2 linked regions of the Lonchura striata genome follow. The main gene of each other region encodes a partner of the protein of the gene in region 2 in a complex. Links are inferred from orthologs where the notes say so. Each region holds a gene or a part of one and is shown on either strand. Other genes may lie near its edges.

The links. The genes of interacting proteins can lie anywhere in the genome.
Region 1: THOC1 (region 2) and CHTOP share a complex: the UniProt entries of both Homo sapiens proteins name them as parts of the transcription/export (TREX) complex. The link is inferred for Lonchura striata from reciprocal best matches to the Homo sapiens genes THOC1 and CHTOP.

Annotation. Positions count from the first base shown.
Region 1 is NC_134635.1:3,147,161-3,154,548, forward strand, and holds the start of CHTOP (chromatin target of PRMT1 protein), read right to left. Parts: upstream 3,021-7,388; 5' UTR 2,843-3,020; intron 1,575-2,842; 5' UTR 1,564-1,574; coding exon 1,499-1,563; intron 1-1,498. Other genes in the region: S100A1 (protein S100-A1), read right to left, coding at 4,220-4,363, 4,463-4,603. UniProt on the Homo sapiens protein: Plays an important role in the ligand-dependent activation of estrogen receptor target genes. May play a role in the silencing of fetal globin genes.
Region 2 is NC_134603.1:48,096,391-48,104,013, forward strand, and holds the start of THOC1 (THO complex subunit 1), read right to left. Parts: upstream 3,005-7,623; 5' UTR 2,968-3,004; coding exon 2,920-2,967; intron 1,920-2,919; coding exon 1,846-1,919; intron 1,739-1,845; coding exon 1,678-1,738; intron 766-1,677; coding exon 699-765; intron 1-698. UniProt on the Homo sapiens protein: Component of the THO subcomplex of the TREX complex which is thought to couple mRNA transcription, processing and nuclear export, and which specifically associates with spliced mRNA and not with unspliced pre-mRNA.

The DNA.
Region 1 (7,388 bases), on a different chromosome or scaffold from region 2:
GGAGTTTTTGTGGTGTTTTTTTTCTCCATGGACGCAGCGAGGCGGAAAATAAAACTCCTCAGCAGCACCCCAGCAGCTTCCTGGGAGCTGGCGAACAAAACCCATCCTAAAAACGAGGAGTTTGGTCTGACGGGGGGGAAGGGGCAGCAAGGTGTCCCTGAGCTGCCTGCAGGGAGCAAAAGCTGCCCCATTCCAGGGTGTTTAACCCCAAAATGCTCACTGGGACAGTGGCTGCTCCATTCCAGGGTGTTTAACCCCAAAATGCTCACTGGGACAGTGGTTACACCATGGCAGCGTGTTTAACCCCAAAATGCTCAGTGGGAGAGTGGCTGCCCCATTTCAGGGTGTTTAACCCCAAAATACTCACTGGGACAGTGGTTACCCCATGGCAGCGTGTTTAACCCCAAAATACTCACTGGGACAGTGGTTACCCCATGGCAGCGTGTTTAACCCCAAAATGCTCAGTGGGAGAGTGGCTGCCCCATTCCAGGGTGTTTAACCCCAAAATGCTCAGTAGGACAGTGGCTGCCCCATTTCAGGGTGTTTAACCCCAAAATGCTCAGTGGGAGAGTGGCTGCCCCATTTCAGGGTGTTTAACCCCAAAATACTCACTGGGACAGTGGTTACCCCATGGCAGCGTGTGTAACCCAAAAATGCTCAGTGGGAGAGTGGCTGCCCCATTTCAGGGTGTTTAACCCCAAAATGCTCAGTAGGACAGTGGCTGCTCCATTCCAGGGTGTTTAACCCCAGAATGCTCAGTGGGATGGTGGTTACCCCATGGCAGCGTGTTTAACCCCAAAATGCTCAGTGGGACAGTGGCTGCTCCATTCCAGGGTGTTTAACCCCAAAATGCTCAGTGGGACAGTAGCTGCTCCATTCCAGTGTTTAACCCCAAAATGCTCAGTGGCAGAGCAGCTGCCCCAGGCCAGCGTGTTTAACCCCAAAATGCTCAGCAGGACACCCGTTAGTCGTCACAGAGGAGCCACACGTGGAGAAACCCAGCGGAATGACCCACGGGAAGAGCTCGAGGACAGAGAGAGATGGAGGTGAAGCGAAGCTGGTGCCTCTTACAAGGCCCAGAAGAGCCTTTGGGCCGGTTCCGGGGCCGCCGCCGGCCTCTTACAGGGCCCACCCGGGCGGGTGGGAGCCTCGGGCGCGGCAGCAGAGCCAAAATACCAATGTCAAAACATGTGGGAGAGACAGGGAGGGTGTGAGGCTGGTCTCTGCTCTTACAACAACACATCCCACCGGATTTACGAGGCGAATCAACACTAAACACGGAGCAATCCCTCCGGGATTTTTGGCCCTTTTAACCTTGCGTGCCGCAGGGGTCGGAGGGTAAGGCGGGGGTGGAGGCACCCGCTCGCTCGACGAGGTTAAAAGAGGGCGGAAACCACGGTGGGTTTTTGGATTTTTGGATAGTGAGAATTAAGTAAAAAAAAAAAAAAAAAATTATATATGATTTCTTAGGAGCTGAAGGTGCCGTTGGCTTCCTCACCGCTCGTTCAGAGACATCTTGGTGGTGCTCTTTAGCACGACCTTCGGTGCTGACTGTGCAGCCATCTTCAGAGAATCTGCAAAACAGGGCCCAGAAGGGAAAATTTAGACATTTATTACACATTTATACTGCAAAATACTAAACATCCCTTCCGTTCTGCCTCTTTGGGTGAAGGAAATCAAGATTAGGGCAGGTTATGTGCAATATATTCATTTTTCCCCACTGATTTTTAGCCCTCTGCCAGAATTTTTCTGTTCTGATTCTGGGATTTTGAATGCTTTTTGGTCTTCTCCCGGTTTTAATAAATCAGGGAGTTCCTTTATTTCTCCCTTACCAAAAATATATCATTTTACAGTGAATGCTTCAGCAATATTAGGAAAAATAACACAAAAATCCAGGAGCAAGATGGCAACCAAATGCCACCTCCAGAGCAAAGATGCAAAACAGAATCCAAGACATCAAATTAAAACAATTATTACGTATTTACATGATTAAACATTAAAAAACTTCTGCTCTCTGTGGAGAGAACTAAGAGTGAGGCTAGTTATAGGTATTGTATTTATGCATTTTTAATGTTTTCTAGCCCTCTACCAGGTTTAATAAAAAAGGGAGTTATTTTAATTTACCTTTAGTAAAAATTTATATTTTTACAGTGAATACCTTATCGTTTTTCTGAGTAATAACATACAAATCCAGGTGTAAATAGCACCCAAACGCCTTTTGCACACTGACACCTCCACATTTCCCGTGTTCTTAGCATGACCAAGGTGCAAACCCCAATTTTAAGGGCACAGGGAATAAAAATCCAAGACGATGCTACAAAAGCATCGTACCCTTTAAAAACATGGAGGTTCCAATTCCCTCAGGGTAGGGATTTAAATCCCCCCCCAGTGCTGGATGCTACAGAAACACGCTGGGCTCCAACCCCCGAGCTCTGCAGATCGATTTATTAATTTATTTTATAATTAGCAGCAAATCGAATGAGTGGATGACGGCCGGGATGCGTTTATTCTATAGTACCCTGAAAAAAACGTTTTATTGAGAGGATTTACAACCAGAAACTGAGACAACAGAAAGCCTCATTGCTGCTTGAAACTAATTATAATAATTTTGTTTTAATATACAGCAGCTTCTTCAATTTGAAGTGGTTCTTAAAGCATTTTTCTTCCTGAGGATTAAAAAAAAATAAAAACAAACCGCTCCGCCTCCCGCAGGCCCGGCTCCGGAGGAAAAGCCCCGACCGTGAGGGGCTCTCCGGGCTATGAGGGGGCCCTGAGGGGACCCCCCGGCCCTCAGGAGCGGCCCCCGGCGCCCCGCCCCCGCGCAGCCGGGCCGGTCACTCACCGAAGCACACGGTCGCCAGGTCTCCGGTGGCTCGGCCAGCAGGCGGGCGGGCGGGCGGGCGGGTGAGTGAGTGCGGGGCCGGTGTGGGGCCGGCGCGGGCCGGGGCTGGCGCTGAGCTCCGCCCGCCGCCGCCGCTGCCGCTTCTCCCTCAGCCGCCCGCGACAAAATGGCGCCGGCGCCGCTCCCGCCCCCGCCGAAATGGCGGCCGCGCTCCCGGCCACGCCCACCGCCGCGCGAGCCCCCCCGGGCCGGGCGGTGATTGGTGGAGCGGCGGAGGGGGCGGGGAAAGGGGCGGGGCTGAGGGAGAGGCGGGAACGTTCTGGCGGGAGTAGGGGTGGAGTCCCCGTGACGTCATAGAGAGCGGTGTCGTCATGGTCACGTCATGGAAACGTCATGAAACCGTCATGGAACCGTCATGGAACCGTCATGGAACCGTGGGATGAGGGAGTCAGGGGGGTCAAGGAACCGTGGAGTCATGGAGCTGTGGAGTCACGGAGTCACGCGGTGCTGGGATCCCCACGTCCCACGGAATTGTGTCAGCTTTATCAGCTCCTCTGTCAGCTCCATGGAATCTTGGAATTATGGAATCACAAAATGCTCAGCTGTGGAATCATATAGGATCCAGGCGTTAGGGAGTTGCGGAGTTGGAAGGGGTCTGTAAGGACCGTGGAGTCCCCTGCCCATGACACTCCTGGTGTCCCACCATGTCCCTGGGAGCACTGCCCAGCTGCTCCTTGACCCCTGTCCCGTGCCCCTGTCCCGATGTCCATCCCACCCAGGCAGGGCCGATCCCAAGCCGGGATGGCGGGCAGATGATGGCGCTGGTGGCCCTGGTGGGGCCCTTGGCCACCGTCCCATCCCAGTGGGCTGGGAGATCCCAACCGGTTCCTCCAGCCCCGCGGGAGCAGTGCTGGCGCCTCCGGAGCCACCGGCAGCGAGTCCCGGCCTGTCACCCCCTTCCCAAATCCCGGGGCTCCCGTGTCCCACACCCTGACACCGGCCGGGATCCCCCGCCCTGGGGTCACCCTGCCCCGGGCGGTCGGGGCGGATCCCAGGGTGAATCCCAGGGTGGATCCCGGGTGGATCCCAGGGTGGATCCTGGGGTGGAGCCAGGGCTGTCTCCAGGCTTCTGGGGTGACCCAGGCTGGCTTTTCCCTGTGCGCCCAGAGTGGGATATTCCCAGGGGATGGGGCAGGAATCCCGAGCAGGAATGAAGGAAGGAGCTGACGCACACGGACACACCTCGGGCAGGGTTGTGCCTTTATTGTGCAGCTGGATCCCAGTGGGATCCCCTGGGAATGCTGAGGGGGTGAGCCGGAGGGTGGCGGGGGGGCTCTGGATTTTGGGAGCCCACGTCCTGCTGCGGCAGGAGGGGGGTCAGGCGTTCTCCCAGAAGAAGTTGTTGCAGGCCACGGTCAGAGCGGCCACCAGGACCACAAATTCCTGGAAATCCACCTCCCCGTCGCCGTTCTCATCCAGGTCCTGCATGATCTTCTCCACGGCCCCCGCGTCCTTCTGGGTCTGGGGGGGACACAGGGTGAGCCCTGGGGCTGGGCAGCCGCTGTTCCCCCGGGGAACGGGGAAAGGGAGACCCCCGCACCCCAAACTGGTCCCAGTTACCTCCAGGAAACATCCCAGCTCGCTCTGCAGCAGCTCCTTGAGCTCCTTCTTGCTCAGCTTGTACTTGTCCCCCTCCTTGCCCGAGTAGTGGTGGAACACATTGATCAGGGTCTCCATGGCCCCTTCCAGCTGCGATCCCATGGCTGTGGCTGCGGGACCCCCAGCACGTCACCCACCGGCCCCCCCGTCTCGGTGCCACCCCCACATGTCACCCACCCGCGGCCGCGGTCCCCCTGGGCAGGACTGGGGGGGTTCCCAGGGGCTGGGCGGGGAGGTTTGGGGGGGACGGGGACACCTGTGCTCACCTGAGCTCCCCGTGCTCCGAGTGCGCCCGCCCGGCCCGGCCGGGCCCGTTAAATAAGCTCCAAGCCCCCTCCCTCCGGGAGGATCCGATACCGGGGCTGGGCAGCCCGGCTGGCACCGCCGGCCAGCCCCGCGGGGCCGGGCGTGGGGGGCACAACCCCGGCCTGGCCCCGGGGACACGGCTGGGGAGACAGCCCCACTTCAGGGGGGCTCCCCGTGCCACCCCCGAGCGCCCCTCGCCGCCCCCGGGATGTGGAAAAACCGGGGATGTAGGGAGGGCCGGCACGGGCACGGGCACCGGCACGGGCACGGGCACCGGCACGGGCACCGGCACGGGCACCGGCATGGGCACGGGCACCGGCACGGGCACCGGCACCGGCACCGGCATGGGCACGGGCACGGGCACTGGCACCGGCACCGGCACCGGCACGGGCACCGGCACGGGCACCGGGGTCCCCCGCCGGGCTCAGTGCCCGGCGCCCCCGCCGGTGGCCGCGGTGGCCACGCCGTGACCCCGCGGGGGCACCGCCGGCATCCCCCGTCCGTCAGCGCCGCGGGGCCGGGGCCGCGGCCAGCCCCGCTCCCGGGGCCGATGAAGGGATCCGGTGTCCTCGGAGCGGCCGCGGGGCCGGCGGGGCCCGGGGGGAGCGGCGGGGGCTATCGGGTGACTCCGCGGGGGCCCCCCGCGCTCAAAGGACTCTTGTCCGGCTGAAAAGGCCCCACAATCCCGAGCCCGGCGTTGCTGCAGCAACGCCTCGGCCAGGAAACCGGACTCCGAGCCGGCCCGGGTGATGCTGATAATCCGCGGATCCCGTTACGGCCCCGGATCCGCGCGGGATGGAGCCCGCAGCCTGCCCGGCTCCGGCATCCCCGGGGAGATCAGCTCCCGAATTCCTCAGCCCCCGAATTCCTCAGCCCTCAAATTCCTGATCCCCCAAATTCCTGATCCCTCAAATGCTTCAGCCCCCAAATTCCTCAGCCCCCAAATGCTTCAGTCCCCAAATTCCTGATCCCCCGAATTCCTGATCCCCCAGATTCCTGATCACCCCAATTCCTCAACCCCAAGTGCTTCAGCCCCCAGATCCCTCAGCCTCCCTCAGGATTGGGACCCCCTCAAACAGGAGCTGCATTTTCAGCAGGGCCGGGTGGTGCCGGGCTCCTCATGCCGGGTTCCAGCCCTAATTTGGGGCTAATTACATCCTGTTGCCTCTGCTTCCACCTCCCTCACTTCCCGTCCCTGCGGCTGAGGATGGGCCCTGCCTGGGCACCCCAAAACTGCCTGGGCACCCTCCCCAGCGCCCAGGGAATGGGGAAACTGGGGGGTCCCCAAGCAGAGGAGGGGTCCCAGCTGGAATTGCGAGTTCCAGAGAGGAGCAGGGATCCCAAAGGGCGGCTCAGGAGCTGCCTCCCAGCAGGACCCGGCTCCATCCCTGGGGCTCCGGGAGGGGCCGGATCCCCAAATCCCGAGGCTGGGCATGGGGGCACTGGGAGGGGCCCGTGGCACTCACTCGCCGTGTCCCGGTCCCCGAGCGGCGGGCAGGATTCCGGGAACGCCCGGGAGAGTCACCGGGCCAGCAGCTGCTCGTGACAGGGACGGGCATTGCCCAAAAATAACCCCGACCCCGGTCCCTGCCAGGGGACAGAGGGGACAGGGCCAGGACTGCGGGCAGCGGCACGGCCGCAGTGTCCGAGGGACAGCGGGACCCCCAAACCCTTCGGGACAGCAGCCCCAGGGCGAACCCCAGCACTGGGGGGGTCCCGAGGGGTCCCGGGGGGTCCCGGACCCTGCGGCCGGGGCAGAGCGCGCCCAGCACGGCTGGCAGATTCCCAGGACGAGCTCTGGGAAGCGGGAGCAGTGAGGGACATGCCAGGAGCTTTACACACAGCTTGGAACAGGTTTCAGCCACTGCGACTCCCCTGCTCCACTTTGACCCAGCTAAACCAGTCGCTCCAGTTCCCGGTGCTGGGCTGGGCCCATCTTGTCTCCCCATCCCATCGCCGGGGCTCTGGAAGAGGCTTTGGAGAGGGAGGAGCTGCGGTGGCCGCGCTGGGGACCCCGCGGTGGCTCCGGGCTCCTGCCGCGGCCCCTGGGTCCCTGCAGCGAGCCCCGATGGGGCCAGCAGGGGCCACTGCCGGGCTGGGCACCGCGCTGGACACGGTCACCATCCCTGGTGGGGCCACACCGGCTGTGGAGAACCCCAGGACCAGGATGTGGAAGTGGACACTGAGCCCCTGCACATGGTCACCCTGTCACACGGGGTCCTGTGGTCCTATATGGCCCGAGTCCCGAATGATCCCATTCCTATTCCTGTATAGCCCAAGTCCCTGTACGATCCCATTCCTGTCCCTATATGGCCCAAGTCCTTATATGGTTCTGTCCCTGACCCTGTATGGCTCGAGTTCCTATATGATCCTGTCCTTATATGGCCCAAGTCCTGTCCCTATATGGCCCAAGTCCCTATATGGTCCTGTCCCTATATGGTCCAAGTTCCCACACGGTCCCTGACCCTATATGGCCCCCATCGCTGTCCCTACATGGCCTCAGTCCCTCCATGGTCCCAGTCCCTCTCTGCTCCCACTCTCAGCCCCGTTATGGTCCCAGTCCCTCTCTGCTCCCACTCTC
Region 2 (7,623 bases):
TGAAGCCTGTGAACCTTTTCAAGAACCACTAAAACAGAGCTCCAAGTCCATCCACCCATGCTCTGTAGGCAGTGACTGCTTTCCTCAAAGCACAGTTCTTGTTATTCTACAGCTCACAAAACATACAGCTTGTAATCTGTACTTACTAAAACAAACAATTTTTGATGAATAATGTGAACAAATAAAGAAAAGGAAGAGAGCAAAAGCCATTTCAGAGGAGAACAGCACACTGATGTCTGACACAAGCTGTCATTAAAACAGATTTAAATATGTAAAAACCAGCCATATACTGACAGGAGATGAGCACAGATACCCAGGAGATGTTATTTCTGCCTCTGCCAAGTCATTTTACCTCTCTGCCTCAGTGGTCTCATCTTTAAAATTATGATGGGAAACTTCTAATCATTTTAGAGTGCTGGACAAAGAAACTGCTAATCATGCTGCAACCAAACCCATTCATCTTTTTTTATTAACAAACAAACAAACAAAAATTTTCCAACATAAATGTCACATATATAACCAAATTTAATTATATTATACTTAATTTCTCTTCTGAAACAAATCCAAGCTTAACCACTAACATAAGAGCTATATATCACCAAATGTAATCACAGCAGATGATTTACAGAAATCAAGATTTTAAAATTTCCCTAAATGGTCTTTGAAACTGCCAATAGATTTGAAAGAGAAATGCTCACCTTCTGTGACTCCATTAATAGCAAGAGAAATAATTGCCAGGAGATTCTCACATGGAGCTTTGTTTATCTAAACAAAGAAAACAGTGTTGAAATTCTCCAAACTAACCATAATGTACCTAACAAAAGTAAAATTCTTGTTTCCAAGTAGGCATATTTAAAACAAATGCTGAAATTCAACTTTTCAAAACAATCTATGAAATCTGACCTATCAGTTAACTGCAGTTGAATTTTTATTGAAAATTAAACCTTTCCTGACTGCTTCCACCCACTAAAGACCCAAATGTACAGTCATTTACTTCTGAAAATTAGTATCCCACATTCAGACTTCATTTGAATATTACTTGATCATACATTATTTGACTCCTTTTATCATTCTTTTCAGCTGACAAGGCAGCTTTGTTACATATTAGTAACATACCACAAAAGAATTTTGATTTGAGGAGGGCAAAATATCTCAGTGCTCAAACCCCGCTGCCAGGGGCAGAGACACCTTTCACTAGCCCAGGTTGCTGAAAGCCCCATCCAACCTGACCTTGATCACTTCCACATTGGATGGAGCATCCAGAACATTTTGGGACAACTTGTTCCAGTGCCTCACCACCCTCACAGTGAAGAATTTCTTTCTGACATCTACTCCAAACCTACCCTTTCCACCCACTCTTAAAGAACAATTACTGAACGATGCATGTTTATGAATTAGAATTTTAAGATGTAGCAGACTTTCATAAGCATTACAAAGAACTGCTAGAAAAGGCTCAAACAGCTCTCACCATAGTGTGATGTCTGTAAAATACAAGATTCTACCAATCTCCTTGAATCATCTGTATTTCATCTCAATTACCTCACCATTACATAGCTCTTGTTTTTAATAAAGTGTTTTCTCACACTAAAGTAAATTGTTATTACATTAATACACGAGCCCGCTAATAGAAATTTGAGGCTGAAGAAGAGATAAGCTTCAGCAGTTTAAAATACTTACTATTTCTTCTTCTACAACAACTCTAAAAACTTGATCCAAGGTACACTTCTTTTCATTTTCACTGCAAAAGAAAACATTCCACCATAGTTAGTAACAACCCTCAGGCACAAGATTACTAAAACTGATCTAAATAGGTACTTTTTAAAAAATCAAGTGGCCTTTACTTACCTTCCAGGAACCTGGTTAAATGCATTCAACAATGGCTTGATGCTTTTGTTAATCAGAGCCTCTCTGGTGGATGTCTACCAAAATGCAAAGAAAGAAAAGCTAAGGAAAGCACAAAACTTAAAGCATCTTCCTCCTTCATCTGACAGTGGGCAGAAATACTAAGGAATCCTTCTGCCACACACCTTGTGTTAGTTTACAGAGAGAGCTTTGTAATAGGAAGGGCAAATAACAAGTACATGGGAAATTAAGCACGTGAGCTACAGAGCATCACACCTCAAACCTGGGGTAACAGTGTAGTGCAAACACCAACACTGTATCCATCATTGTCTCACGTGCTACACTCACAGCTTCAGGTGGTTATGGTGGTTTGGGACACAGATCAGAGAATATTCTGAGTCAGATGGGACCCACAAGGATTATCAAGTCCAACTCCTGGCTCTGCACAGACAGCCCCAAGAATCGCATCGTGTGCCTGAAAGCCTCTCGCTGTCTTCAAGGGAGTTAGTAACTCCTCCCAATTTTCTATCACCTTCAAACTTGCATAGGATCCCTGCAAGTCCTGCGTTTATGAAGATGTTTAAAAGCACACGACTCCTGCTAAGAAGATGGTCTAAAAATTACGACTTCCTGTTACAAATTCGGTCTAATGAATCGAGTGCTTGTGCCTCGAGCACTTCAGTGCAAATCCCATCCTCTTGTCTGACAACCTGGCTGGCAAACGCCGGGATCCAGAGGCCTGGGAACACACGGAGCCCCCAGCTCTGGGACAGGAAAGGCATCCTTCAGCAGAGGCAGCAAACGCAGTACGCCCGGACGTTTTGCTGCAGGAGGCACGCTACACTTTGTCTTTCACATTAATTCCGCTACCCTGGTGACTGGTCCCCCGGCCCCGGCCGAGCGGGCGTGCAGCCCGCCCTCGCTGCCGCCCCGCGCCGCCGCACCTCGGCCGCGCCCAGCTCCATCAGGGAGCGGCCGGGCCGCGGGCCCGGGGGCGCCGAGGCACAGCCGCGTCCCGTAGCCCGGCCCGAGCGGCAGGAATGGAGCGAAGGCCGGAGGGAGGCGGGGGAGGCTCACCGTGAAGCGGAGCCGCGCCTCGGGCAGGCTGAAGAGCGGCGGCGACATGTCGGCGGGCGGGCGGCGCGGCGGGCGCGCGCGGATGACGCCGCGGCCCCGCCCTCCCGGCGGGACGCGGCAGCGGCGGCGGGACGGGCCCGGCCGCGCCCAGCGGCGCCCGGCTGCGGCTCGGGAAACGCCGCCGGGACGGTCGGGTCCAGCCCCTAACCCGGCACTGCCCGGCCCGCCGCCAAAACGCGTCCGCAAGGGCCACATCCGCACGCTTCCAGAGATGGCGCCTCCGCCGCTTCCCTGGAGAGCCCGTTCCAATGCCCGGCAGCCCCGCCGGCGGGGCGGCCGTTCCCGGTGGCCAGGCTGAACCTCCCGGGGCACCGCCTGGGGCCGTTTGCTCCTGTCCCGTCGGTGTTGCCGGGGAGACGAGGCCGGCCCCGGCTGTGCACAGCCTCCTCCTTGCAGAGGGTGATGAGGTCTTCCCTTGACGTGCAGGTGTTAGAAGGATAAATGGCTTCTCGGTGGAATTGGCTTGTTAAAAGTTTAGTATTTGACATGGTTCAGTGATCTCGGATGGTCCGCTAAGCTTGAGGAGAAGGATGTGCCACTGAGAGTGGACACAAAAGAATGCAGCATTTGCAGGTCACCAGAAAGTTTGGCAGAACTCCCGAGATAAGGACGGAAGTGACAAAGCCAACTCTGCAACTGTGCTGGAATCGGCTGGAGCTGAGTATAAGGTAATTCTGACAGGGAGATTGCAACCACCGACCCATGGGCTCAGGAGAAGGCCTGGCCATAGCGATTAATTAGAGTGAGTATGAGGGAATTACTTAACTAACAGAAGATAGAATACAAATTAATAAGAGAACTATGCAACTTGTTGCCAGTGAACATTAATGCCTTTGTTTGCTAAAATGTATAAATAGGGAAACATATTGGTAGTCAGTGTGCTGGCTTTGTGGATTTGCTGCTCGGCAGTCCTCTGCTCAGGACTGTAAGTAAATAAAACACCTCGACTCAGATTGTGGACTGGCTTCTTAAATATCAGGTGAATGAACCTATTTTGAACAACAACCTGAGCCTCCCTTTTCCAGGCTAAGCAACCCCAGCTTCCTCAGCCACTCCTCATCAGACTGTGCCCAGACCTTTCACATTTCACTATTACCAAAGCTGAAATGACTCTACAGATGTAACTGTTGGTTATTTTTTTCCTGATAAAAAACCCTAGACCACAGTCTCCCACCATTTCCACTGAAGTAAAAATGATTAGGGACTTAATATCATCAGTAAAATCACCTCAGTGCTGACAATTTACAGGTTGAGCAATATCCTACAGATACCTCCTGGGCGACAGAAATATTTGATAAATTACATTTATCATGATCATAGAATCAGAATCATAGAATTGTCAGGGGTAGAAGTGACCTTGGTGTCCGGCCAAAAGCACAGGTACTGCCAAACTCTTGATCAAACGTGGGAAAAAGCTCAAACATCGAATATCCCGTTCATATGGGAAGAGGCGAGTAATATTAAAATTAAGTTTATTGTCATTATTAAGTGCAAATATTTAAAGTAAAGCATGAAAGGATAGATGGGAATATATGGGGCATGATTTATGGCGTGGTGTGGCTGTAGTTAGCGTTTGTACCGGGAGAGGGAAGTGTTTGCCCAGAAAAGGAAGATGCAGCGGGAGGGGCGGCCTGACCCGCGCTTGGGTGGCTGGTTCCAGGCGCTGCTCCGCTAATGGGGAGGTGGAGGCACCCTGCCAGCCCAGAGTTTGTCACCTCATCCATAACTGAAATCATTGCTTGACACTGCCTAAGAAACGTGGGCAATGCCAGAGGATGCCAATTCCTTTCAAACCATGGGGGAAGAGGCTTCATGACATTGAAAATAAGGCTCCACATGATCTGTCTTTTTTGAATGAGTCACCTGCGTGTGCTTTGAGACTTGCTGAATGTTGTTCATTCAGGCTTGGGCGAAAGTTTACTTCCCCCCTCCCCCTCCACTATTTCTCATCTCTTACTTTAATAAATTAAATAATATTATCAGCTGAATAAATGGCCATTCTAAATGAACAATTTGAAATTATTCTAGCCCCCATCTCTTGCTGTAAGAAAGAGAAACAAAGAAGAACTCTATAAATTGGTTATAAAAAAAGCTTTACACTTTAAAAAGATGATAGAAGTGAAAGTAAGGAGATACTGCTAAAGAAAATTGAGTCATTTTTGACTAGAAATATTCCTTAAGCCAAGACTAATGTTTTAGATGAACGGAGAGAACTGCCAACATACTGAAAAAGCAGTGCAGTATATTTGTTAATGAGTACAACATGACTGAGGAGTTTTTTTCCTTGGGGTAGGAACAGATAAAGAACAATGTGATTTAATAGTGGTTTATAGCCACCTCTTGTTCTGTACCGAATTTTTCCCGTTTGGAACGGTGTTACTTTCTCGCGGAGAGGTGGGGATGAGCGCTGGGCTGTTAGTGCTCCTGTTGTGCTGCGGACAGATGAGGCTGCAGTGCCTGAAGAAGCTCTCGCCCCAGCAGCTGCTGTGCACCCCGGGCAGAGCCCTGCCCTGCAATGTCAGCGGCGTGGCACTTCTGCTTGCCAACGTGGTGGTGTCACCGTGCAGCACCTGACAACATCGCTTAGAGCCATCCTCATCACCTTAACAGAGGTGCCAAACTGTGCTCTGGGCTGGCAGACAAAATCTGATTTGGGGGATCAGAAACTCAATCAGAGGAGTAGTGCTGCATACCCGTGAATTAAAATGCCGCAGTTATCCTGGATATAAAGAGCAGTCAGTGATATTGTCAATGTAGCTAATTATAAATTAGATATGTTAGTATGTTAGAAAAAGCTGTGTCTTCTGGTATGTGCTAGGTGGAAAGCTAGCACAGCTAAGGTGGGGAAAAAGAAGTAAATATTGCTTTCTATAATAGTATTATACGCCAAATAATTTTTCAGCCCAGATTTAAAGCTATCACCAGTTGAAAGCTCAGATAGATGAAAGCAATCAACAGCAACAGTATCTCAGGAGACCTGTGTACTCAGAGGTCAGTTGCTAGAACAGATGTTCTATCATTTTATGTCAAGAGGCTGTGTAGATGGAATTACAAAAAACTTCACCCAGATGCTGTCTTTTGGAGTAAAACCCCGTTCCAAGATCAATCTTTCAATTTTAATTTCTGTTACCACTTCTGCAGAAGGGCATATCTGGAGACCTGAAGCCTCCGATCTCTGATAGCCTGAGGGCTTAGTGCTTTGTTCTCCCTTCTTAGTTTCCAGCTCTCATGCTGAAGTGCTTTTCTTCTCAACCCATTTCCTTCCCCACCACCTTGCACACCCTTCAGTGCAGAACTACAGGGTGGATAAATTGCCTTAGGAGCCTGGTTTAACTAGCTTACCTGTTGTTTCCACACCAGTCATGGGAAGTTGCACAAGGCAGTTTTATCTTTTAAACATTGATGAATACAAGGTGTCCTACCTTAGGCACTTAATTTTAAGGTGGCGTCCTGCCAGTCACTGTAGCTTGTTACTGACTGTGAGGTACAATTAATAATGTGTGGACTGACGAAGGAGAAGCAAGATTAACACAAAGCACAGCCCTTCAGGAAAACTTAAATAACATTTTTATAACGTGAATAACAGAGAATCTTTCTGCATTTTATTAGTATATTACACTTTTCACCAAAATATGTATTCAACTTTTATGTTTGTCAAATCTCGTTATGATGTTCTTGTCCATTTAATACTTTCAGGGTTTCCTCTTGATTTATTGAATAAATTGCTGGGGAATATATACCATATGATCCCATTCTCTCATACCAGTTACAGCAGAAGTGTTTTATTGATATATTTTGTATTTTGGTGGCATTTTTAAAAATAATTTGGCAAGAGTACCTAGGAAGGGTTCATTTATGTAGAAGATTTTGGATTCACCTAGAAGACTTATATGCTTCACTTATGAATCTGAGAATGACTGATTTTTCTATTCTTCATCTTTATCTGGGATATGGGACTTGCTGGCATAGATCTCCTGGAATACTACCAGGCATTATACTTCATTTTTATCAATTTATATCTGCAGATAGGTGGAAATATGGTCACAAACAGCAGTGATTGTCAAATGGCCCACTAAGGACTTAAATTACCAAGACCAGGGATTTTACCTTAGAGTCAAAAACTTGCAAAAGTGTTTAGCATATATTGTTTGTTTTATCCCAATGTAGAGAATGTGGGGAGTTTTTGCCATAAGAATTTACTAAAATTCATATCTGTGTGCTACTAATACTATGGAAATCTTTTTTTCAGAAGCAAGGCATCACAATCTGGCTGCTATTCACAAAAACCATGCTATCAACAGCTCTTCCCTTCACATAGCAATATTTTTTTGGATTCTAACCTAGCAATACTACTGTGATTTCAGCAGAGAACTTGAATTAGTTGGACATTTTTTTAGCAAGAATTTCCTTACAATGTGTCTCTCATTTTGAGCATACGCCGACATGGAACCCCTTTAATTTAATTCATGAGTGCATTATAATGTCTAATTTAGTTATTAAAGAATGCAGGAAGGCATCTTCTGGACCAGATACCCATGCTTCTATACCACAAGTGTATGGGGTTACTTTCACATCTGCCAGTGGTATGAATTCTGAATGAATTCTGGTATGAATGTTGTTTTTTTGTGATTATGATACCATTTT